3 linked regions of the Drosophila melanogaster genome follow. The protein of the gene in region 2 interacts with the protein of the main gene of each other region in a pairwise test. Each region holds a gene or a part of one and is shown on either strand. Other genes may lie near its edges.

What was found. Proteins that work in one complex are often made in the same cells at the same time.
Region 1: the proteins of Argk2 (region 2) and Jheh1 interact in a two-hybrid assay, tested with the Drosophila melanogaster proteins (one large-scale study listed by BioGRID).
Region 3: the proteins of Argk2 (region 2) and CG3842 interact in a two-hybrid assay, tested with the Drosophila melanogaster proteins (one large-scale study listed by BioGRID).

What each region holds. Positions count from the first base shown.
Region 1 is NT_033778.4:18,852,823-18,858,977, forward strand, and holds Jheh1 (juvenile hormone epoxide hydrolase 1), read right to left. Parts: upstream 2,266-6,155; 5' UTR 2,232-2,265; coding exon 2,022-2,231; exon of another isoform or gene 1,966-2,021; coding exon 1,766-1,965; exon of another isoform or gene 1,712-1,765; coding exon 1,501-1,711; exon of another isoform or gene 1,443-1,500; coding exon 639-1,442; 3' UTR 612-638; downstream 1-611. Other genes in the region: Jheh2 (juvenile hormone epoxide hydrolase 2), read right to left, coding at 3,084-3,869, 4,062-4,269, 4,382-4,581, 4,831-5,028.
Region 2 is NT_037436.4:9,044,461-9,051,559, reverse strand, and holds Argk2 (arginine kinase 2), read right to left. Parts: upstream 4,122-7,099; 5' UTR 4,065-4,121; coding exon 2,898-4,064; 3' UTR 2,836-2,897; downstream 1-2,835. Other genes in the region: Argk1 (arginine kinase 1), read left to right, coding at 1,201-2,284; Doc1 (Dorsocross1), read right to left, coding at 6,703-7,099.
Region 3 is NC_004354.4:6,334,110-6,343,872, reverse strand, and holds CG3842 (uncharacterized protein), read right to left. Parts: upstream 6,112-9,763; 5' UTR 5,410-6,111; intron 4,378-5,409; exon of another isoform or gene 4,282-4,377; intron 2,814-4,281; 5' UTR 2,530-2,813; intron 1,811-2,529; 5' UTR 1,736-1,810; coding exon 515-1,735; 3' UTR 142-514; downstream 1-141.

The sequences.
Region 1 (6,155 bases), on a different chromosome or scaffold from region 2:
TCTAAGTTGAAGTTTCTTTGTCTTCGAAACTTGATGGCAAATTCCTAGATCGTGGTATAAATTGTTCGTTTTATGAGCTTCTGGACCAGCCTGTATCTCACACAAATCCTGTATTCCAAATTTGTAATTGTTTAATATTCCTATATATTCTTGACCATCTGCGCAGCCACTTTAACTCCGATTCCCGATTGTAATGTTCCAGGATCAGGGATGGGAGGTAACTTCACGCGTGTACCTGGCCCTAAAACAAGGTACCCTTTTCAGTATTTTGTGTTTGCTGAGGTACAACATTTAAAAAATACCGATAATGATAAAAATTAAACTATGTCCCGATTATTCTTCTAAAAATTTAATCTATGCGTTCCATAGAAACTAAACCAAATTATTATTATTATGAAAAATATGAATGAATTGTTTTGGACTTATTCATTGAAGTGTATATAACAAATTAAATATTCCTAATACAACATTGAATATTAAGGTTAAATAGAAAAGTGAAAAGTTGAAAGTGGAAAACGGTAACATCTACTACTATTTTTCCGGGTACCTAGTCATTTCCAGGATCAAAACCATTTAGGTTATCGATACCAAATAAAAACTAATTTTTTTTTGTAACAATTAAGCTTTTATTGGAAGATCTACAGAGTCTTAATTTTAAACTTACGTTCCACCGTTTCGACAAAGTCTATAAAATCCTTGTATAGAACCTTTGGAACCTCTAGAGCGGCAAAGTGCCCGCCCTTTTTGTGGTAAGTGCTGTGCACTAGGTTCGTGTACTTATCCTTCAACTGGACATCCAGGAACTGCATAATGTCGCTCTTGAAACGGGCACATCCAGTTGGCACTCGGGTGGGAACCCGATCCAGGTGCAGGTCCCGCTGTGCCTGGGCATACTGCTCGGCATAGAGACGCTGGGAGGTGGTAATCGAATTGGTCAGGTAGTAGATCATCAGGTTGTCCAGCAGGGCATCCATTTTGTAGCGCTTAGTGAGTCCTCCATCTGGCAGAGATCGGTAGCTGGGATTTGTCCACGTGGAGAACTTCTCCAGAATGTAGGCGGCCAGACCCACTGGGTTATCGGTGAGGGCGGCTCCGATGGTGTCCGGTTTGGTGGCCTGGATGTGGAAGTAGCCACTCTCCTCCATTAGGTATCTCATCTCGTTAGACTTGGGAAAGAAGAAATCTTCAAAGCCAGAGGGCACAAACAAACTGGGCCAAAATTCGGCCACTAAACCCTTAGCCAGCGACTTCGGACTCAAATTGTTGCACATGTTCGAGTGGTAGCCCAGCACGTTTTCCGGATACAAGGTGGCAATGTTGCTGCCAATAATGCTGCCCCAGTCTCCACCCTGGATAAAGAATTTGTTGTATCCCAAACGCAGCATAAGATTCCTCATCATCACCGCCACTTGAGCGGGACCCAGTCCTTTTCTGGAGGTGCCCTGCAGGATAAGAGACAGATAAGCCTATAATACACTACGTAGATTGGACAAAACCCACCTGTGACCAGCCATAACCTGGTAAACTCGGAACCACGACGTTAAAGATGTACTTGTTATTATTGTCCAGATTGGTCTGATGCAGCAAATGTATGAAATCGTAAAACTCCCGCACCGATCCCGGCCATCCGTGGAGCAGCAACACCGGATAGTGTTTCTTACCCACTTTGTTGTCATCATAAACCATCAGGTGGAGGAAGTGTGTGCGTAGCCTAAAACCCCATCGTTACTATCTGTGCATATGATAAGTGGGCACCTTATCTTACCCCTGAATATCGGTGGTGAAGTGATTGAACTGCCAAAGGAACACCTCGCGTTCGCGCCAACGCGGCAGGTAGTCATCGCGCCAGTACTCCACGACCTCCTTAAGGTAATTCGTATTGAATCCGTACTCAAAAGCCACGCCCTCGAGCGGAGGCGTAAGGCGCAGGGTGCGATTGAGACGCTCTTTCAAATCAGCAATGGTCTGCACATGGTATGAGTTAGTATATAGTACATAATAATGGATAGACCCCCACTTACCTTATCCGGATAACTAAGCCTATTGCCTATCACCTCCGAATTGTTCTTCAAATAGGCCTCGTAATCCTTGGGCTGCGCCTCATCGCCCCACCACTCCTGGGGATCCAACTTTGGTGCGGGCAAGTCCGCCCATAGTTGGGTCACATTCCTATAGACCAGCCCACCGGCAATGGCCAGTATCAAGACCAGAATTTTAACAGTGACACCCATCTGTTCCTATCAGCGGTTCCACTCAGACTGTCTCGGATAGCAGCTACGATTCCACTGATTCTACCATATCATCGTGGGCGCAGCTCTCGTTTTCGACGCTCATGATGATAAGCGACTTTGAGTGACCACCCTACGCCGATCAGTTGGGGCTTATCGCGGGTTTACTTTGGACTCGACTCCACTGAGACGGAGTAGCGGCTTTCCACATCGGGGATGACTCGAATGAATCGGCTTGTTTGTTTATTTACTCAACAAAGCTTACATGCCGGTTTTTGGTTTGAAGCTTTTACGGGTAAAGACCGGAGGGGTATGTATGTATGTATGTACTATATGTATAAAGAATGAGACCCGCGAATTGTTTTTGTATATTTTGCGACGCAGCTGGGCTACCAGGTTAGCTAAAAAATACCCCTTATTTTCGAACTACACTGGGGTAGACTGAACATGTGTGAGATCTTTGTTGCCAAGTAAAATTTGATGTTCATTTGGTTTAATATCACTCTACTGTCATTTAGTTAAGTAATAATTCAACATATTACATGATTTCTTATAAAGGGTACACCAATGTCGACTATAGCCCATGGGAATAAGTTACGTAACATCGTTCCGAGCTTAGATATATCATATATGTACATATACTTATGAAAGCAAACACCACACACTGCCCTTTTGCTCGCCACTCGTGTATTCCAAACAAAAAACTCTTCAACTTTCGGTTTTCAAAGCAGATAAGGCAAATACAATCACCAAGTCGATTTGATTTAATTTTTGCAACAAACATAACCGTTTCTTTCAAGAATCACGATGAAAATGTACAATGGACTTCTATAACTAATGATAAACAATTTTGTTTTATGAGAAATTGGCTTTCTGGACAAAAGACACAAAGTCGTCGTACAGCTGCTGGGGCAGCTCAAAAGCGGGAAAGTGACCTCCATCCCGGTGGTGGGTACTGTGCACCAGATTGGGGAACTTGTTGGCCAAAACCGAGTCGGAGAAATGTGTGATCTCATGGGCGAAACGGGTGCAGCCAGCCTTGGCCTTGATGGGCACGGAGTCCACGGCCAGTGCAAACTGCGAGGCAACCATTGATTCGGAATACAGACGCATGGAGGTGGTAATGGAGTTGGTCACATAATAGATCATCACATTGTCCAGAAGCTGATCGTAGGTAAATCTCTTGGTCAGACCACCGTCAGGAAGCGATCTAAATGCCGTATTCGTCCATGTGGAGAACTTCTCCAGAATATAGCTAGCCAGACCAGTTGGATTGTCGATCAAAGCATTGCCGATGGTGTCTGGCTTGGAGGCCTGAATGTGGGCATAGCCCATCTCCTCCATTATGGTGCTAAACAAGTGACCGAGTCCCTTGTAGAAGTCCGCATACTCGCTGTCCACAAACCAGCTGGGGAAAAAGGAGGCCAGCACCATCTTCAACTGACCCATAGGGCTGTTATTTCCGCACATATTAGAATGATAGCCCAGCACGTTTTCCGGAAAAAGTGAGGCTACATTGGATCCAATTATGGAACCCCAATCGCCACCCTGCACCAGAAACTTATCGAATCCCACTCGGAGCATCAGGTTGCGCATCACCACCGCCACTTGCGCCACACCGAATCCAGTTTTTGAAGAGCCCTGGAGTTGGAAAAATATAAAATTAGTCATTTTTCAATTTGTAATTTGGAGAAGGTTGTGTAATAACTTGTCTACCTAAGTGCTATATATTAATGCCATAGTAAGAGATAAGTTCTATGGCTTACGGCTTTTGGAGAATATAGCATTACTTGGTTAGCAATTTATTGTTGTCCCTTTGGAAACAAATCTAACCTGAGACCATCCGTAGCCGGGCAGACTGGGTGCAATAACCTCGAAGACGTAGTCGCTCTTGTCACTGGGCGTGGTCAGGAGAGGGATGAAGTCGTAGAATTCGCGAACGGTTCCCGGCCATCCGTGCATCAGAAGCAGAGGCAGCACCTTCTTGGGCTTTTGGCCTTTCACCTGGCTTGGCTTGGCATGAATAAAATGAATTTTTAAACTGCAAAAAAATGGAAAAACATTTGGGGTTAACTTTTCATGTTAATTTGCAAAAGCAGGCGACTAATTAAGCGTGGAACACTTCGGTTTTCCATAAGTTCTGTCGCACTCACCCCTGAATTTCCGTTTGGTAGTGATCCAGCTTCTTGAGGTACTCCTCCCGTTCGCTCCATTTGGGCAGATATGTATCGCGCCAGTATTTCACCACCTTGGCCAGTTCGTTGGCATTGAATCCGTATTGGAAACCCACACCCTCCAGTGGCGCCTGCGCTTTCAAAGGACGACTCAGCTGACCGATTAGATCCTCAATAACCTTTGATAAGAAGTGATGAAGGATATTAAAAAAATTATATAACTTAAATTAAATTATTAAATCAAATATAACTTTAAATAGTATGAATTTGTACAAATTACCATAAATTCTGTATAATTAATGATACTTGCATACCAGCATGATTCGAAATATTTACATATACTATACATTCATAGCTTTGATTGCATATCATACTGATTTGATATTTTGCATTTGTATATATGCATTTGTGTATGTATATTTATTTACCTCTGGCTTTACGCTGATGTCGAAGGGTAGGATGGCCTTGTTCTCCCGATAAGGTTCCTTCAATGTTGGACCCCAGTAGGCGTTGTTGTCCAGATCGGGTCTCTTGCCGGGCGCCGAGAGATCGCGATAGTTCTTATAGCCAACGGCCACCAGGATGGTCAGAGCTCCGACCAAGATTCGTGGCCAGATGTTCGCCATTGTGTGTTTATGCTATATTCTTTATATATTCTATATACACAGATCGGCGAACTGCGCAACTCCTCGCTTACGATCGTCGAGCACAAATGATTTGTAAAGCGCAAGCTACCGGCAAACAAAAGCTTTTTGTTGGCTTGTGGATTTCAAGTGGATCGTATTCCACACGGCAATGCAATGCGAGCATGATTGGACAAATAATTTGAGAATTTCGGCGAGCTTTTGGCAACAAATTGAGTGAGAGCAATTTTTGTACTTAAAATTTACATTTAGTTTAGGAAGATGATCAAGCAGTTCCATTTATCAATCCACGAAAGTAAAGTGAACAAGAAACGATTCATGCTTAAAATGAAATTGTTATATGACATTTAACTAAATACTGATTTAATTAATTAATAATGATTAAGAACTCGAATTACCAACACGCGGAGCCCTTAATATATACAGAGGTGGTCAAAAGTATTTTCACAACGCACAATATTTGCAAACTTCAACTTCTTTTTGTTATATTTCTTCTTGTTGTTGTCCGATTTGCCTGAAATAGTTCTTATCGCTTAGCTTGATCTATGCAGAAGGTAGTCGAAAAGAAATACGAAAGATAACGGTTCATAGTACAAAGCTTAAAGCAAAAGAAAATATGCATGCAAGTTGTCAATAGTATTTTCACATGTTTATTGCGCTTCAAAAGTATTTTCACTCAACTTAATTTAGTAAATTTCAGCTTAACATCTAATTTCAACATAAGAATTTTTTTTATTTTATATAAATACAATACTAATATTTTGTAACACCACCTTTGGCATCAATAACTGCTTGAAGTCTTTTTGGTATTGACCTTACCAAAGTTTGTGCAAATTCTAATGTCAATTTGGACCAAATCTCCGCTATTACAATGATGGCTCCCTCTCGTTTTCTATTTTTATCAATAGTTCGTTAGTTTTTAATAAAAGCCCAAACGTTTTCAATGATATTAAGGTCTGGGCTTTGGGGGGGCCACGGAAGAACCGCCAGATTAAGGTCGTTTAAAAATTTTGTTGGTATCCTACCCTTATGGCATGGAGCATTGTCCTGCTGAAGAATCCATTCAGTAGTTGGAAAAAGTCTATTTCCAGACGTAAAAGCATGGTTGT
Region 2 (7,099 bases):
CAAACAGATATATACGCTGAAACGAGAATCAATCAATCAATCCCAATCACCGAAAATCAAAAGCAATAGCGTTAAGCCAAGCGTGCGTCTGTGTCTGAGAAAAGAGTGTGTGTGTGTTCTAAAATAAGGATCCCAAAACGAGATCCTTGAAGAGCTAAAGCTGCATTGTGATTTCATTTTACCTGCAAACGCAACCAAACATACGAAGATTGGTTTTTTCTATATACAAAATACCGACTTTGTGACCAAGCAAACGCCAAATTTTTAAACGTTTTTTGAAAACTTTACATCAAACCCTACAAAAAAAAAACACCACACGCGAAATGGGTCTCTGCGCCTCCAAGGACAAAAAGGAGAAGGTGATCGAGGGCGAGGTGGCCAATGGCGAACCCAATGGTACCGCCACGGCAGCTGGCGCTGGAGGAGATGGGTGTGTATCCCGGAGTTCCGGGCTCTTATATTCAATTTTTTTTGTAGTGGGCCTACGACTCCTAGACAGGAGTTGTCTGTATATCCCCTGGTTGGGTGACCGACCGACCGAAGGGGGCTGACGTCATGTGTGTGTGTGTGTAAGTGCATGAACGCTGCTCTGTCGAAAAAGCGGCCAAAAATAAAGTGCCATAAAAAAATTATTATTGCCCTGGTCCTTCGTTTTGTCCAGGACTTCGGCTGGGTAGCCATGTTGTTGTAGTGCGCATGTCCTTCGACAGGAGGAAGGCAGAGGGCGGTGGTGGGTGTATAGTGTGCCGTCGATTTGCGTATTCAGCGGCAGCCGGCAAAATTTTATAGTCAGTCAGCCACCACCGAAAGCAGGACACAATCGAGAAACAAAACCAGAGTCACCACCACTAAAAAAGGGGCGTTGTGGGATCAAGGGTGATGGGTGTTCGGTTCTGGGTACTGCTTTCTGGGTGTAGCGAGCTGAAGGGGAAAGGGAGCGTGGGTATATGTGGCAGTCGCGTGCCACAGACCCAAGTCGAGTATGAGCACATGGCCATAACCCGAAACTAATTGCGGGGCAAACAGGCAGGAATTGAGGAAAACAGAAACACAAGAAAACATGTTGCCGACTTTTGGGCGCCACAAAATGAAGATAGGCGAGTCCTTTGTAGCAATAAAATGTTGTACTGTCGCCCCAGCCACGCCCTTTTACTAATGGTCAATACCCCATTCTCTCCTTCTCTCTACGTATTTTTGCAGCAAACAAGACACCATGGTTGATGCCGCTGTTCTCGCTAAACTGGAGGAGGGTTATGCCAAGTTGGCTGCCTCCGACTCCAAGTCGCTGTTGAAGAAGTACCTGACCAAGGAGGTCTTCGACAACCTGAAGAACAAGGTCACGCCCACCTTCAAGTCGACCCTGCTGGATGTGATCCAGTCTGGCCTGGAGAACCACGATTCCGGCGTCGGCATCTACGCTCCCGATGCCGAGGCTTACACAGTGTTCGCCGACCTGTTCGATCCCATCATCGAGGACTACCATGGTGGCTTCAAGAAGACCGACAAGCACCCGGCCTCCAACTTTGGCGATGTGTCCACCTTCGGCAACGTTGACCCCACCAACGAGTACGTGATCTCCACTCGCGTGCGTTGCGGTCGCTCCATGCAGGGATACCCCTTCAACCCCTGCTTGACCGAGGCCCAGTACAAGGAGATGGAAAGCAAGGTCAGCAGCACCCTGTCCGGTCTGGAAGGTGAGCTGAAGGGCAAGTTCTACCCCCTGACTGGCATGGAGAAGGCCGTCCAGCAGCAGCTGATCGACGACCACTTCCTGTTCAAGGAGGGCGATCGTTTCCTGCAGGCCGCCAACGCCTGCCGCTTCTGGCCCAGCGGCCGTGGCATCTACCACAACGATGCCAAGACCTTCCTGGTCTGGTGCAACGAGGAGGACCATCTCCGCATCATCTCCATGCAGCAGGGTGGTGATCTGGGCCAGATCTACAAGCGTCTGGTGACCGCCGTCAACGAAATCGAGAAGCGTGTGCCATTCAGCCACGACGACCGTCTCGGTTTCCTGACCTTCTGCCCCACCAACCTGGGCACCACCATCCGTGCCTCCGTGCACATCAAGGTGCCCAAGCTGGCATCCAACAAGGCCAAGCTGGAGGAGGTTGCCGCCAAGTACAACCTGCAGGTGCGCGGAACCCGCGGTGAGCACACCGAGGCTGAGGGTGGTGTCTACGACATCTCCAACAAGCGTCGCATGGGTCTGACCGAGTTCGAGGCCGTCAAGGAGATGTACGATGGCATCACCGAGCTGATCAAGCTCGAGAAGAGCCTGTAAATTGCCCGCCAACCGCCGAGCATCGTCCCCCCGGCTGGAGGTGCATCGCCTCCGGAGTTAACATCTATCCACGGGTGCCACCAGTTCGGGGCATACGCAACAATCAAGAACAACAACAGCAACACTTAGAAATCTTCGGCTCGTCCGCCTTGTCGCTTTTGGGCGGTTCGAACTGCAAATATGTCTAGTTTGTAGCTATGGTGTGGAGCTGCTGTCCCAGTCCGGCAACCTTCGGCATTTTCGTATACTTTGAGGGTCGCGGGCGCAGGCAGGGATCCCATCTTGCAACACCATCAACACCTACAGCAGCAGCAGCAACAACGGATAACTATTTGACAAAAACATTTGCTTAATTACAACCAAACAATGTAAAACATTTTGACATCTGTGTCAAGCAAAAACAAAAAAAGGAACTTTAAATACTTTTATTTAAGTCTTAAGTTTATAAAAGAATTAAAATTATTAAAAAAAAAATAAAAAAAAAACTTAAAACTCAATGAATGTTTTGTATTCAATGGATATAGAGGACATATAGGGTATACAAATATTTAGTTTATTATTTATTTAGAGTTCATCACGGCCTTTAACCTTTTGTACACTTCACGCTTTACAACTAAGCTGACTTTGCCTTACACTCGGCTTCTATGAGACCCTTGATTCCATCGTGCATCTCTTTGATGATTTCGTATTCGGTTAGTCCCATCCTGCGTTGGTTGGATATATCGTGCACTCCGCCCTTGGCCTCTGAGTGCTCGCCCGAGGTTCCTCTGATTTGTAGACGATACTTGTCGGCCAGCTTTTTCATCTCGTCGGGATCACACATTAGATTGGGCAGCTTGATGTGCACCGAGGCGCGAATAGAAGTGCCCAGATTGGTGGGACAGAAGGTTAAAAAGCCAAGTCGTTCATCCCTGTTGAATTGCAGCTGCTTGCCGAGAGCCTCCACGCCGCCAACCATGCGATCGTAGACCTTGCCCAGGTCGCCACCCTTCTCCATCGAGATGATGCGTATGTGGTCCTCCTCGTTGCACCAGACCAGAAAGTTCTTGGCGCTATTCAGAAAGATGCCCCTTCCCGTTGGCCAATATCGAGAGGCTCCAGCGGAAGCCAGAAATCGATCGCCCTCCTTGAACAGATAGTGATCCTCTATGAGCTGCTCCTGTATGCATTTATCCATTCCAGTCAATGGCATGTATTTACCCTTGTACTCTCCGGTGAGGCTAGTCACTGCCCCACAAATCTTACTCTCCAGCTCCATGTAGTCAGCCTCCGTTAAGCAGGGATTGAAGGGGTATCCTTTGACGGCTCTTCCGCAACGGACACGCGTGGATACGATGAAATGGCCATCGGGATCTAGGTTTTCAAAATCCGCGCCTTTGCCGAAAGCAGTCGCCGGCTGTTTGTCCGTCTTCTTGAAGCACTTATGGTATTCCTCGATGACGGGATCAAAGAGATCGGCAAACACCTTATATGCCTCCGGATCGGGGGCGTAGAGCCCAACGCCGGAGTCATGATTGCACATTCCCGAACTGATGCAGTGCAGCAGTGTGGAGTTGAACGAGGGTGTAGTCTTCGTCTTTAGCTTCTCGAAGATCTCCTTGGTGAGATGCTTCTTCAGCAGGGACTTGGATTTCGACTCGGCCAACTTCTTGTAGCCCTTCTCCATTTGCTCCATCACCTCCTTGTCCACATTTCCTTTGCTGGCATGGCGATTGATTACTAGCTGCGCACAGCGGCCTAGTAATTGAAGTTCAAGCCGGAGTTTTAAATGTAACAGCATTTTTAGGTGTTGAATTTGGAATGACACCGGCCAGGCTGACCCTAAGTTAGAAAGTGACATTAAACCAAATGGCTAGAATAAATCTAGTAAAACGCCATTTAGTACGAACAAAAAACAGACGGTTGAAAACTCCACTTTAATAGATATCGGAAAGGAGATTGCTAAGCAAAGACTCAATCTATGTACAAGTAAATTTGAAATAAATAAAGTATAAAGTAAATTTTGATATACTTGAGTTCCTCATGGATTTAAAAATTGTTTTCACAACTATGGTTTTGCGCTAAAGTAAAGAAATCATTTTCATTGATACTTTTTTAAAGAACCGTTATATGATATTCACTTAATGGTTTTTAAAAATACAATAATGCATTTAAGAAACAATTTTGTTTGATAGTGTACTCATATAGCACGGCTCCAAACCATTGTAAAATACATGGCAAATGTAAAATATTATGTGTAAAATAATGCGTAAAATATGTAAAATACAGGGAAATGCTTAAGAAATGTATACAAAACCCATCGAAAATTGGTAGCTCAAATACTGGTTTTAAAACACTCAGTTCTTCTGTTTAAATGTAGACTTTCTAAGATATATATTACTAATGTAATTATATAATATGTTTAATACGGGTGTAGAAGCCATCAAAACCAAAAACTATGTTTTATTTCCTTTTGACTTTTTTTATTTCAATAAAATACTTAGAACATTATAGAAAAAGGTGTGTTAATTATGATTAGTTTTCACAATCCACCTCGACCTGTTCTCGTTCGCACAATTTAATTGAATATTTGCAAGCTGTTGGCTCGTAAAACAGAGAATGCGAACATTTTTATAGCTTAAAGCTTAAATACCAAATCAAATATATTATAATTAGCAATAAAGAACAACAAAAGCGGCAGCGGCAACAACAATATGCTAACATGTGGCGCAAATAAAATTCAGATCCGAACGGCAACACCTCCTCAATAAAGCATCGTTATCCTCATTATCATTATCAACAGCTTCGAACGAAAACCGGATTTGGATTTGGGCATGAGTATTGGACCAACCTACACATAAAAATTCATTAAGTATATTAAAACAAGCGCAAATTAGAAATGCAATACCGGAGCGACTTCGATTTCCATTTTTATCTCATAATCTACGAATTTTGACGCTTTTTGCCACCGTTTTTTCAAAAAGAAGCCAGCAGCGAGTCAGCAAAAAAACACCTAACATTAAAAAAAAAAAACACTTCTGAGGCACAGACGCCGACAACGAATGTGATTTGATGTTGTTTTGGCCCCTTTTGTTTTTGGGTGAAAACGTGCAAATCCCATAATTTAATTGTTTCAGCATTTCAAATGTAAATTTATGCACCAACAAATCCAATCGAAGACGAGGAGAAACACAAAGCGCTAATACAAAACTAAGCCCAAATTAGTCAAAAAGCCGCTTGAAACGCGGCTTCGTGTGGCTGGTGAATTATTTCGCGCTGATTTGGCTTACATTATGCATAATATATGCATCGATTTCTATGAATGGAAGCCAAATCGATTCGTTGCCCCTTTGAACTATCCGCAACGACTGGCTAGATAAATTCTCTGTGGTCCCATCTCCTTCTGGATGCACTTAAAAACTTAATTAAAAATATTAAACACGAAATGTTTGGCGCCACCGTTTAGGAAACGCTCAAAAGTGGACCGCACACATCCACGGAGCGCCGAGTTATCAGCTCAATTATGCAAGCTGAAAGGCAGCCGCCGGGCCACAGACAGATTTGTCGCATTTGACACGATAATGCACACAAGGAGTGACCACACCAAAGTCTCTCCAACCGACTCGGCATCGGTTTCTGTTTCGGTTTCTTGGCCAGCTCCCACTTCGTTTTGGCCTGGCCAATGGCCATAAAAGGTGCGATAAAACGAAAATTTCACAAGACGGCAACAGCAGCAAGTGCACTGCAAGAAAAGTGCTTCGATTTTGAAATGATCAGATGAATGTTGAATTTTTCTTTCTTTAAATTTACTTTAAAAACCATTTCTATTAGCAATACCATAAGCCAAAACTTACTTAGTTGAATTGAAATGTGTGATACTTTTTTTTCTCCGTGCACCCACCTCTGCGTCATCTCTGTGTCCCAGGGATGCGGATGGAATCGCAGGGGAGCTGGGAGTCGGCAAAGACCAAACAGCCTGAAAGCCGTCAAATCGCTGCTCATAATGGACGCCTTATCTTTGGAGAATTGCTTTAACTACTACCGGAGTTGGATGTTTTTCAGATACGTGTGACTCGAGAACCGACTGGTCACCATAATGGAGAGCATTAATTTGTCTTAGGCCCGCCAAAGCGGTCGCATAACTGCTTTTGGCCCAGGCACTGCGATATGGCCAAAAACCTGTAAAAACGGAAACGCTGAAGGTTACCGTTGCTCCCCCCCCCCCCGCAAATAGTTTTGCATTTTCTACGGATTCGATGTCTGATTTGTTTATTTTGACCAAAGACTCTTAAAACGAATTAACAATGTATATGATTGCAGCTTGGTTCTTAAACGATCTTATATGTAGCATAGATTAGCTTACAAAGTATATGCACACGTTTCTCACTAATCACAACAGAAGATGACTCCAACTTAAGTATGTTTACCAAATATTTCTTTCAATAGGCCAAAATGGCTGAAATGCTGAAGCTATTTCTTTTCGTTGAGGTTGAAGGCCTTGGTGATGTTGTGGGTGTGCTGGAGCCAACGGGTTGCGAGGCCACAGGACTAACAGGCGCGACAGTTGGCGCATATGTGGCTGGTGGCATTGGCAGAATCTGCGGAGGAACTCCACCAAAATAGGCAGCTGCAATGCTGGGCGGCAATCCGGCAGCTCCACTGGGTCCATAGCTCAAGTGATGGCGGAGATACGGCGACATAGGATTGGCAACTGGATGAGTTGCTCCATAGTAAGCTGGCGAAACACTACCCGTTGAGTCCTGCTCAAAATCCTGGCGCTGGCGCTTCGCCTGCGGAGAATCGCAGCTGCTCACACTGGAGCCATCATCCTCCGAC
Region 3 (9,763 bases), on a different chromosome or scaffold from region 2:
TCGCTTTATGCTGATTGTTATCGTTTCGTTCTTTCTCTTTCTTTTTGTTTCTGTGAAAGAGCAATGGTGTAGGGGGGGGGGGGGGGCGACAGGAATGGAGAGAGCAACAGAAAGAGGAGAGTCGAAAACAGGATTGCATGTCAGGTTTAACTTTTATTTTAATGGGTTTTCTTTTCCTTAAAATTATGTACAGAACGAGAGCGACAAAAAAAAAAACAAGAGAGTATGCAAAAGCTAACTTCGATTGACCGAAGACTCAAATACCCTGGGAAATCAACAATTTTAAACATAGTTAATTAATATAGAACGTGGATTATACAATATCAAGAACCGAATTCTTTCAATAATCTCATGTGAAAATCAAACATAAATATATTACTATATATCTCTATAAATTAGACCCGAATCGGCCTCATTCCGCACTGGGTATTTCCAAGGGTACTCAAGCACGCCATATTACAGGGAATTAAATTAAGAGCAAGGTCTGCACTCCAATGAAGGACTCTGACCACAACTACGAACGATTGACCACGACCGTTTCCACGGATTGCATTTCCCGTGAAGCGGGATTGTTACTACTGGCACTGGCACTGGCACTGGAACTACCATTGCCGTTTTGAGTGCCATTGCCATTCTGGGTGGGGCTCTGGACAGGTGGAGGTGGCTCCAGCGGTGGCAGACCCAGCAGCTTCTCGCTCTCTCGCCACAACCAGTCGGCGGTCTGCATATTCCGGACCCACGGAAACAATGGCCAGCGCATGCAGTCCGAGTAATAGCCACCAGTGGAGCCCTCCAACTGCGGATCCAGCGCCAATCTCAGCTGGGTCTGGGCGCCAGCCTTGGGTGTCTTAAAGAAGTACAGCGAGCCCTTCTGCAGGGCGGTCTTCATCCAGCCGGGACCGGAAAAGTGGCGGTTGATCTCGGTGCGGACCACACCCGGATGACAACAGTTCACCGTTACGCCGGTGTCCTTAAGGATGGTGCTCAGCTTGAGGGTAAACAGGATGTTGGCCAGCTTGGACTGACTGTACGCCCCAAAGAACTTGCTGTAGTTCTTCTCGCTCATCAGATCCTCGCGGTTGATTCGCCCAAAGAGATGTGCCGCCGAACTGACCACCACAATGCGACTGGGCGAGCTGTGCTTCAGTCGATCCAGCAGCAGATTCGTGAGCAAAAAGTGTCCCAGATGATTGACACCGAACTGCTGCTCAAAGCCATCGGCTGTGAGGGTCCTGGGACAGGCCATAACGCCGGCATTATTGATCAGTATATCCAGCCGGGATTCCTCCGCCTTGAAGCGCTCCACGAAATTTCTCACCGACTGCAGGGAGCCCAGATCCAGGGTGCGATTGAAGAGCTGCTGGTTGCGACTGCGATCCATGATATCCAGTCGTGCGGCCTCACACCGACCGGGATCCCGACAGGCCATGTAGACGCGGGCACCCCGCTTGGCCAACTCGAGGACCGTCTCCTTGCCAATGCCCGTGTTGCAGCCGGTGACGATGACCACCTTGCCATCGATGCGATTGGCCTTCCGGTAGGCCGGTCCTTGGATGCACTTGCGCAGCAGCCACATGAAGAGCAATATGCCCAGAACAATCAGGAATATCAGCACGGCCCAGGCCCAGAAACCCCGGAAGCAGAGAGTCTTCTCCACCGATTCGGCAGTGGGATCGAAGCCAGGTGGGAATACTGTTCCTGGCACTGATCCTGGGGGCGTGGCAGCCTCCGACATAGCTGGCTAAGCGATGGATTCGATACACAATCTCTGGTTTCCCCCGTCAGTGTTCTCTTCCGCTTTAGTCGAATTCTAAAAGAGAGTAAGAGAGAAAGAGAGAGAGAGGGAGGAAAAGAAAGTTGTAAGTTAACCCATTAAAAGCGGAAAAGGGGTAGGGTACAAAAGAAATAAGTCAAGAGGCGACGGTCACCACCGGCGGGGAGGGACGTGGAGGGGTCGGTTAGGTGAGTTAGCAAGTTAAAGGCCCCCCTGACCCCGAAATCTCGGGTGGTTTTGCACCTGAGCAACTAAACAACTGGTTTCTCGTAATTCACTTAATTCGTTCGTTGCTGTCACACCATGACAATGCAAAAATGGCTCAATCAAATTGAGCGCTTAGACTTTGGATACCGGTTGGTATTGGAAACTTAACGAGTAATTGTTTTACAGACCGAATTAAAAATTCATAAACTATTCTAAGCTAGCTTGTATTCACTTCGAATGATCGTTTATGCATGGGAATGATAAGTGTGCGAGAATTAATTTAATTTTATTAACATTAAGCTGCTCATAGTTTTTATAGAAACCTAAAACAATATCAATTATTCAAATATAATTGAATTAAGGGAATGTGTGTAAGTCGGTCAAATTTCGAGCCAAAGAACTTTCTCTATGGCAAATGGAATTAACACCTGAACTTTTTCCTTCAGCCAAATAAGTTATTGATTTATCAAAATGGAAATTCAATTCGATTTTTGTACATAGCACTGAAAAAAAAAAACGATTTAACGATTAGCCCACCAAAGACTTACCCGTATGAAAAGATATGTTTTTTTGGAATGCTGTAATAACAACTAACAACTTTTTAGGGGGATGTCAGTCAGGTGGCAATTTCGCTCATTTCCCATGGGCGGCCGACTATATTTGCTCTATCAGTTAGTACGGGTGATATGAAAGTCTAGTTACTGGGCTACTCCCTCCGTGTGTCTAAGCCTCTCGCGCGATCTTGGGCAACTGACTGCCGTGGAGTCCAATTGCTCAGCGCCTGACTTCGATATCCAGCGGTTCCGAGCCGTGTTAACGCGTCAGAAATAACCTGAAATAAAATTATTCCGAGGCGTCTGTTATTAACATGCTGCCTCTGCCGCGGTTGGATATGTACTAGGGTGGACCTGTTTGCCATCTTTGTGTAGCTAAATTACATATTTTGTTGCTTGGACGATGATAATAAATATCACAAAACGGAATTTATTTAGAAAGGGGTGCTAAGTGGAATGGGGAACCTATGCGTATTAGTAATCACTCATACGCAGTGTTGCCAAACATTTTTTATAATCAGTTTGCATACTTTTACAGAGTCTTAACTGCTTTATGGTTTCGAAATGTATTGTTTTACATGTTATTATGATTTAATTTTTATAGATATTATTTAAGAAGGGGCTACGGGTCGTATGAGTAATGTAATATTCTCTTAATATAAAGGTGTCGGGTATTTTCTCAACAAGCCTATTAAGGACCACCCTAATTGGTTACAGCGGCTCTCAGTCGGCGTCGCAGTCGTTGGTTGTATTTGTTGTTGTGGCCAACATACCAAAGAGAAGAGCAACTTGGCTTGGCTTCAATTTCATTTTTTACCAATTTTCTCTGTTCGCCTTCTCCTTTTCTGTTTTTGTGTTCGACTTTCACTTGAAACGTTTTTTTTTTCTCTTTTCCCTCGGCCCGTTTGTTTTGCTCACACGTTCTTAAGCCGCGCTCGCTTCGATGCCTTCTGCGGTCTTCTTCTTCTCTTTCGCTTCGTCTCTCTACCTCTCCTTTCGCATTCCAATTCGTAGCACGTTTTTGTTTTCAAATCGCTTAAATAGACAAGGCGATTAAGTGCACAGCAAGAAAACTATGTTGGCCTAAAATGTAGACTATTTCATTTATTATGAATATATCTACTATTTACCAAGAAGTTAAGACAGATTGACAAAATTTCCATTTGTAAAAATAGTTGTAAACATGTAAGCGCTGTTTTTTATGTGTAAGCGAGACAACAACAAGTCTGGTGTGCGGTCAAGAGGGGCTAACAAGTGGGGGGAGGGGATCACTGACCCCGCGTTGAAGCCAAGGCCAAAACGTTGTAATATTCATTTTCACCTGGGCAATTATATTTGCACTCAAAACCTGCACTTTGACTGTAATGGCAAACAATGAAAACGCCGGAAAGTGTCCAATGGAAATTGAAGCAGGACGGAAATCGATAAATGTCGCTAATCGAAGGCTGGATACGGGTGAATGTCCTTGACACGGGCCAAAAGGCAAGTCGCAGGGGTCACGGGACCAAAGCCGGCTTACATTTTCCCCCCCGGTTCAGAATTTTTGGCTACGTGCTGGCTCACACGTTTCAAAAAATCGAAAAAAAAAACGCGAGAAGGAGAGTGGAAAAGTGGTGGGGATGATGGGGTAAGAATTTAGAAGAGAGAGGAAACCGGATAACAGGATTGGCATGGGAGTGGTTGAAACAGTTTCTTATGGGGTGTATTGTATCCATACATGCGGAACTTCAGAACTTATTTACTCACTTTCAAGCGATGATGTGGTATAAGTATTTATTATTTTTTTTTAAAAAGACGTTTTTAAAGACGTGCTCGTCTGCCTTTAAATAGCACAGTGAGTGAGCGTATGCTTAGGCATCTCTACTTTTTATAGAGGATCCCATTCAGCGGCTTATCTACAGTTCTTATCGGCTGCAAAAGCTGCAATATAGTCATACAAAATTTATGTTCCACACAAGACGGCCCGTCCCACACGATCGGCAATCAGTGGTGTTTTGACCTTTTTAAACTAATGCACTGGTCGATTTTACACTGTAAAACCAAAAAGCTTGCTAAATTCATTTAGTTACACAACTTTTTGTCAATTTATAGTGGATAATCAAATGAATGCACAGGTAAATGAAGCTCATACTAAAACATGCACTTTTGACATGCAATAATTAAATAACTGTGATGGGCTTGAACTTTGCAAAAGGGCTGGGTAGGGAAGCCCCCTTCCTGGCCACCCACTCTACGCATATGGCGAGAGAGAGGGAGAGAGAGAGCGAGAGCAGGGCGTAGAGTAAATGTCACTGCGCTCGAGAGAGCGCGAGAGAGGCGAACTTTGACTAGGTCAGGATAACGGGTCCTTTTCGCGTCCTTCTCCTCGCCCTGCTCATTCGCGTTGTTTAATCGATGAGCAGAGCGAAAGCTGTGCCCTTTGCCACCGGCCACACCCCCTGCAACGCCCCCCGTAATCCTTGCTCTCTTTCGCCGTCCCTTTCTAGCGAGATTTTGGGAATTTTCCACTGACAATGCAGATGGGCGTTTTTATTTTGTTCGTTCTTGGCCGGTTTGTTCAATTGAGAACATTAATTCGATTCCTGATTGAGTCACATTAATTTCGATGGAGGGAACAAGAAAAGAAAAGAGGCGCGTGACTGTGGCTTTTCTTATTGAAATGATTAATCTTAGTCTGGAAAAGATTAAGCAGAGAAGCGAGCTCAAGAAACACAAGAAACATAACATTTGAGCAAATGTGCACATATTTATGTATTTTATATTAATATAAAATACTTTTTTTTTATAAATATGCTCATAGAATGCATATTCTATGTAAATCGTATTTAATTGACTAGTTATTGCACGGTACAGCTTAAAGGATTCTTTACTCACGACTCGTACGTTATGTATTATCCTCGTTGGTTACACTTAAGTGCGCTTATCTCGTTTTCCACTTTGCGTCCGTTTTGCTGTCGTCAGTTTGTCGCTAATTCCCGTTGACAGTTGTCGGCCACGCTAACAAACAAAAAAAAACAGTGAATAAATAAAAACGAATGTCAACTCACCCCTGACCCCTGGCATCAGGATAAGCCCCGCTAGTTGGTCCTCTGGGCCAGATGCGGTGACGTCAATGGAATTCGGGTTAGGCAACATCACCTTGATCTTGGGCTAAACAACAGATCGGGGTAAACAATGGGGGCTGCCAAAAGATTAAAACACGCGAAACGTAAACAACGACTATCAACGCAGGGGGCAACTGTACTTGTTGTTGGAACATTTTCATGAGAACTCCTTGATCCTTCAACTTTTCCATTCATATTTTTCATTATGCTATACAAAAAACTGAAACAAATTGTTATCGGTCAAAGGGTAATCAAAGCATTGAGTAATGCAAATTCATAATAGAAAAATTCTCACTGTTACACTCTTCAATTAGATAATCACTGAACTGACCAACCGCAAAAACTGAAACCACGTAATCAAATTACTCTGTGCTTGGTGGCGGGAACGGGGTAACCAGGGGTTAATCAGCACAACACACACATTGCTGGCGTCATTGTATCGCGCTTATAAGAGGAACGAACTGGAAATTGTTCAATAAATGTTCAATTCAGCATCACGTTGAATGCGGCACGCGAGTTAAGTCCGTGATCGAGGGTGGAGCCTTTTGTGAAGATATGATGTGTAAATGTATGAAGGTTTTTAAGTTTCAGCAGATAGTTGTAGTGTGAAGATTTCCAATAAAGAATACGACTGACTTTCTTGAAGTTCAAAATCAGTATGAAGTTTATTGTCAGAGAGTGGCTACTCGAGTCCTCCGTTTTCGTCTTATACATAAGTACATAGGTTCTTAATTGTAAGCATAATGAACATGCCGACTCGGCATGTGGCTGGCTAGCTGGGGACAATGTTGCAGTGCGACTTTTGTGTAATGTCAGCATTCGGCCGGAATGTCAGCATTCGGCCGGATGCGGTGTTCCAGTTGCCGTCTTCCCGGTTGAGTGTCCGATGATTTGTTTAGAGGCGTGGGGGTTTAGGGGGTGGGGTGGTAACTCCTCCCCCCCCAGTTCGAAGTGACGGCCATAGCGAAGGTATGGATGACGCGTAGATTGGTACGTGATGATCCTCGTGGATGTGGACGATGTGTTTCGTTCGTCGGTGCAGCCATAAGATGACTGCTAGGAACGTTACCAATCCGAGCAGAGTGTAGAGTGTCCAGGTGTGCTGTATAGTATTGTGATGGACGGCCAGGATTTTATCCATTGTTTGGGTGGCTTCGAGGTGCAGTTTTTCTAGGCTTAGTACCGTAATAGTGGTATTCCTAGTTACTTTTCGCATGGGGGGAAGATCAAAATCCGTCTGTTCAGGGAACGTGTCAACCGTGCCGTCGTAATCGATACCGTTAATCTGTATTGTTTCGTTAATGTATCTGATGATGGCTGACCCCATTATTGAGAGCTCGGAGCCGTTTGTTAGGGATACCTTCAGTTTGTTCACGTTGAATGCGAAGATGTAACCTCTCTCTGCCTCGAACACGTCGGTGATGGGGCCGGTTTCCCGTACATCGCAGGAACTGTTTTCTCCGTTCAAAAGGTGTTCCAGGCATGTGTTGTTCTGTGGTGTATCAACGTAGAAGTTCTCGTCGCACAAGAATGTATTATCCAGTTTGGGGCATTTACGGGTCATATGAAATTTCTTATTATTAATATTATAAGCTAGGTAATTTGGGGTTATTACAAAATATGTGTTATTTATTGGTAATGGAACTAGTCTGGCGAGGGTATGAAAAGGTTGTTTAAAAATTGGGACTTTGATATTAAAAATAATCTTTTGTTCGTAATTTAGTGTATTCATTTGTAGGAAATTGTATATACTTTGTTCATTTTTGACTGTGATATTTTGTTTTTCCAGTATTGTTTTTATTTTATCCATTTCTTGTTCATTTAGGATGAACTTGGGAATTATATTTATTTTCGCCAATAGCATACTTTCTGTTATGTCGTTTAGGTGGTTAATGAATAATTCTATGTTATAATTAATCCTATTTAAATATTGTATTTCTTCCAGAAGGGTATCTTGTAAGTTTAAGTGTTTGTATATTTTGTTTTGTGAGGTATCAAAGAATTTACTTATCAAAATTTGTTCATTATTTATATGGTCCGTGATATTTTCGAACCGGATAAGTATTTCGTTGTTAAACATTACTTGTTTTTGGAGATTGTCGTTACTGACTTCGGAATTTTTCTTTATATTGTCAAGTTCTTCATGTATTTCTTTATTGTCGTTGGCATCCATGTTGCCGGTAACCACCTTTACTAGACTCCCCAATCCGTTAATCAAACCCCGTTTGTTTCTATATGAAGGTGTAAGGGCTTTGAGCTTTACTTGGGCTTGGGTTAATTTGGTTTTTAAAATTGTGACGGAGTCCGTCAACGTGGAATCGGGGTTAAATTTATTAATGGTCAGATGGAATTGTTCCATACATCTGCTGTAGTCTTGTAGGTTGATTACATGACTAATTATTTTGTACCTCTCAATTAGTAAGGCTTTCCCTAGTTCTATCTTGGCTATAGGGGCGTTATCATTTAAATAATGGACATGGATAGCCTGAGTTGGCACAAGGGTGAACAGGTAGGTAATTATTAATAGGTAGGACATCCTACCGGCTGCGCCAGTTAAGTCCGTGATCGAGGGTGGAGCCTTTTGTGAAGATATGATGTGTAAATGTATGAAGGTTTTTAAGTTTCAGCAGATAGTTGTAGTGTGAAGATTTCCAATAAAGAATACGACTGACTTTCTTGAAGTTCAAAATCAGTATGAAGTTTATTGTCAGAGAGTGGCTACTCGAGTCCTCCGTTTTCGTCTTATACATAAGTACATAGGTTCTTAATTGTAAGCATAATGAACATGCCGACTCGGCATGTGGCTGGCTAGCTGGGGACAATGTTGCAGTGCGACTTTTGTGTAATGTCAGCATTCGGCCGGAATGTCAGCATTCGGCCGGATGCGGTGTTCCAGTTGCCGTCTTCCCGGTTGAGTGTCCGATGATTTGTTTAGAGGCGTGGGGGTTTAGGGGGTGGGGTGGTAACTCGCGCACAGCTCAAAAACGCAAAAACACTAAAACAATGAAAAACAAAAAAAAAAAATGGTGGGACAGTGGGGCTGCAGGGGGTTAATTCCAATAAAAACCTGTTGCCTCGCATAAACATAGAAACACAAAAGTTTCCCCACCCATTCCCTTGCCCCCCTCCCCCTCACCTTATTTTCAAACCGCCTGTTTTTCGTCTTCAAGTGATTCGTAAATCAGCGAATAAAAAAAGATCGAAACGTGGGGAAAAACAGAAATTTTTTGTAAAAGAACCAGAGAAAACCAAGAAGCGGAAAAAAAGGAAAACAATAACAAAATGATGTAGGGACCCTGCTTAGAATATACTGCTATTATTGGGTACTAATATTAATAATTCCTGCAGCAAAAGTTTCACTTATTATGTATATAGGGAAAAGATGAAAAGATGGTTAATGGAATATTATCCAAAAAAGTGTCTGGTTCTAAAGATTTACATCTATAAAATATGTTGTGTGCGTAGAAAGCGAAATGAAATGAAATCGGCATCAAGTGTTTCTCAAATTCCAACACTAGATCTACATATGATGTACATACAATGTATATTGCCCGACAATTAGGTTGGGTTGTTGTTCTGTTGATGCACCGAGTGTGTTGTTTATGCTGACAATGGAGAAAACAAGCAGGCAGATGGGGAATTTCCATGGGTAGGAAGAGATGCAGTATTCGATTGGCATTGGCGAAAGGAATTGCACAACAATGGTGATATAACCGAGACGGGCAAATCTAGCCTTACACACGAATCAGCACCAATGCATCGAAATCACAATCATATCTGAGTAATGTACATATGTACATAAGTCAAATGGACATCACATGCACATTATACAGCCATTCATTTGCCCCAAAAACCATGGCAGGGCCACTAAATCAAACAGATGACATTTATGAATGCATGTCATTAAACTATCTGATATAGTATATGTATTTATGCCGGATATTTAGATATCCAACTGCGTATCGGCTTTTACAGCCGTGTGAAGTTGAAAATCTGTTGGCTAACCAACTCGAACTGGATCCAGAAAACACCAGAATATCAAAAGATAACAGCTGACTGGGCAAATTGCTGGGATAAACAAACAGATAAGGCATTCTGCAACTCTAAGAATCATATTTTCATAA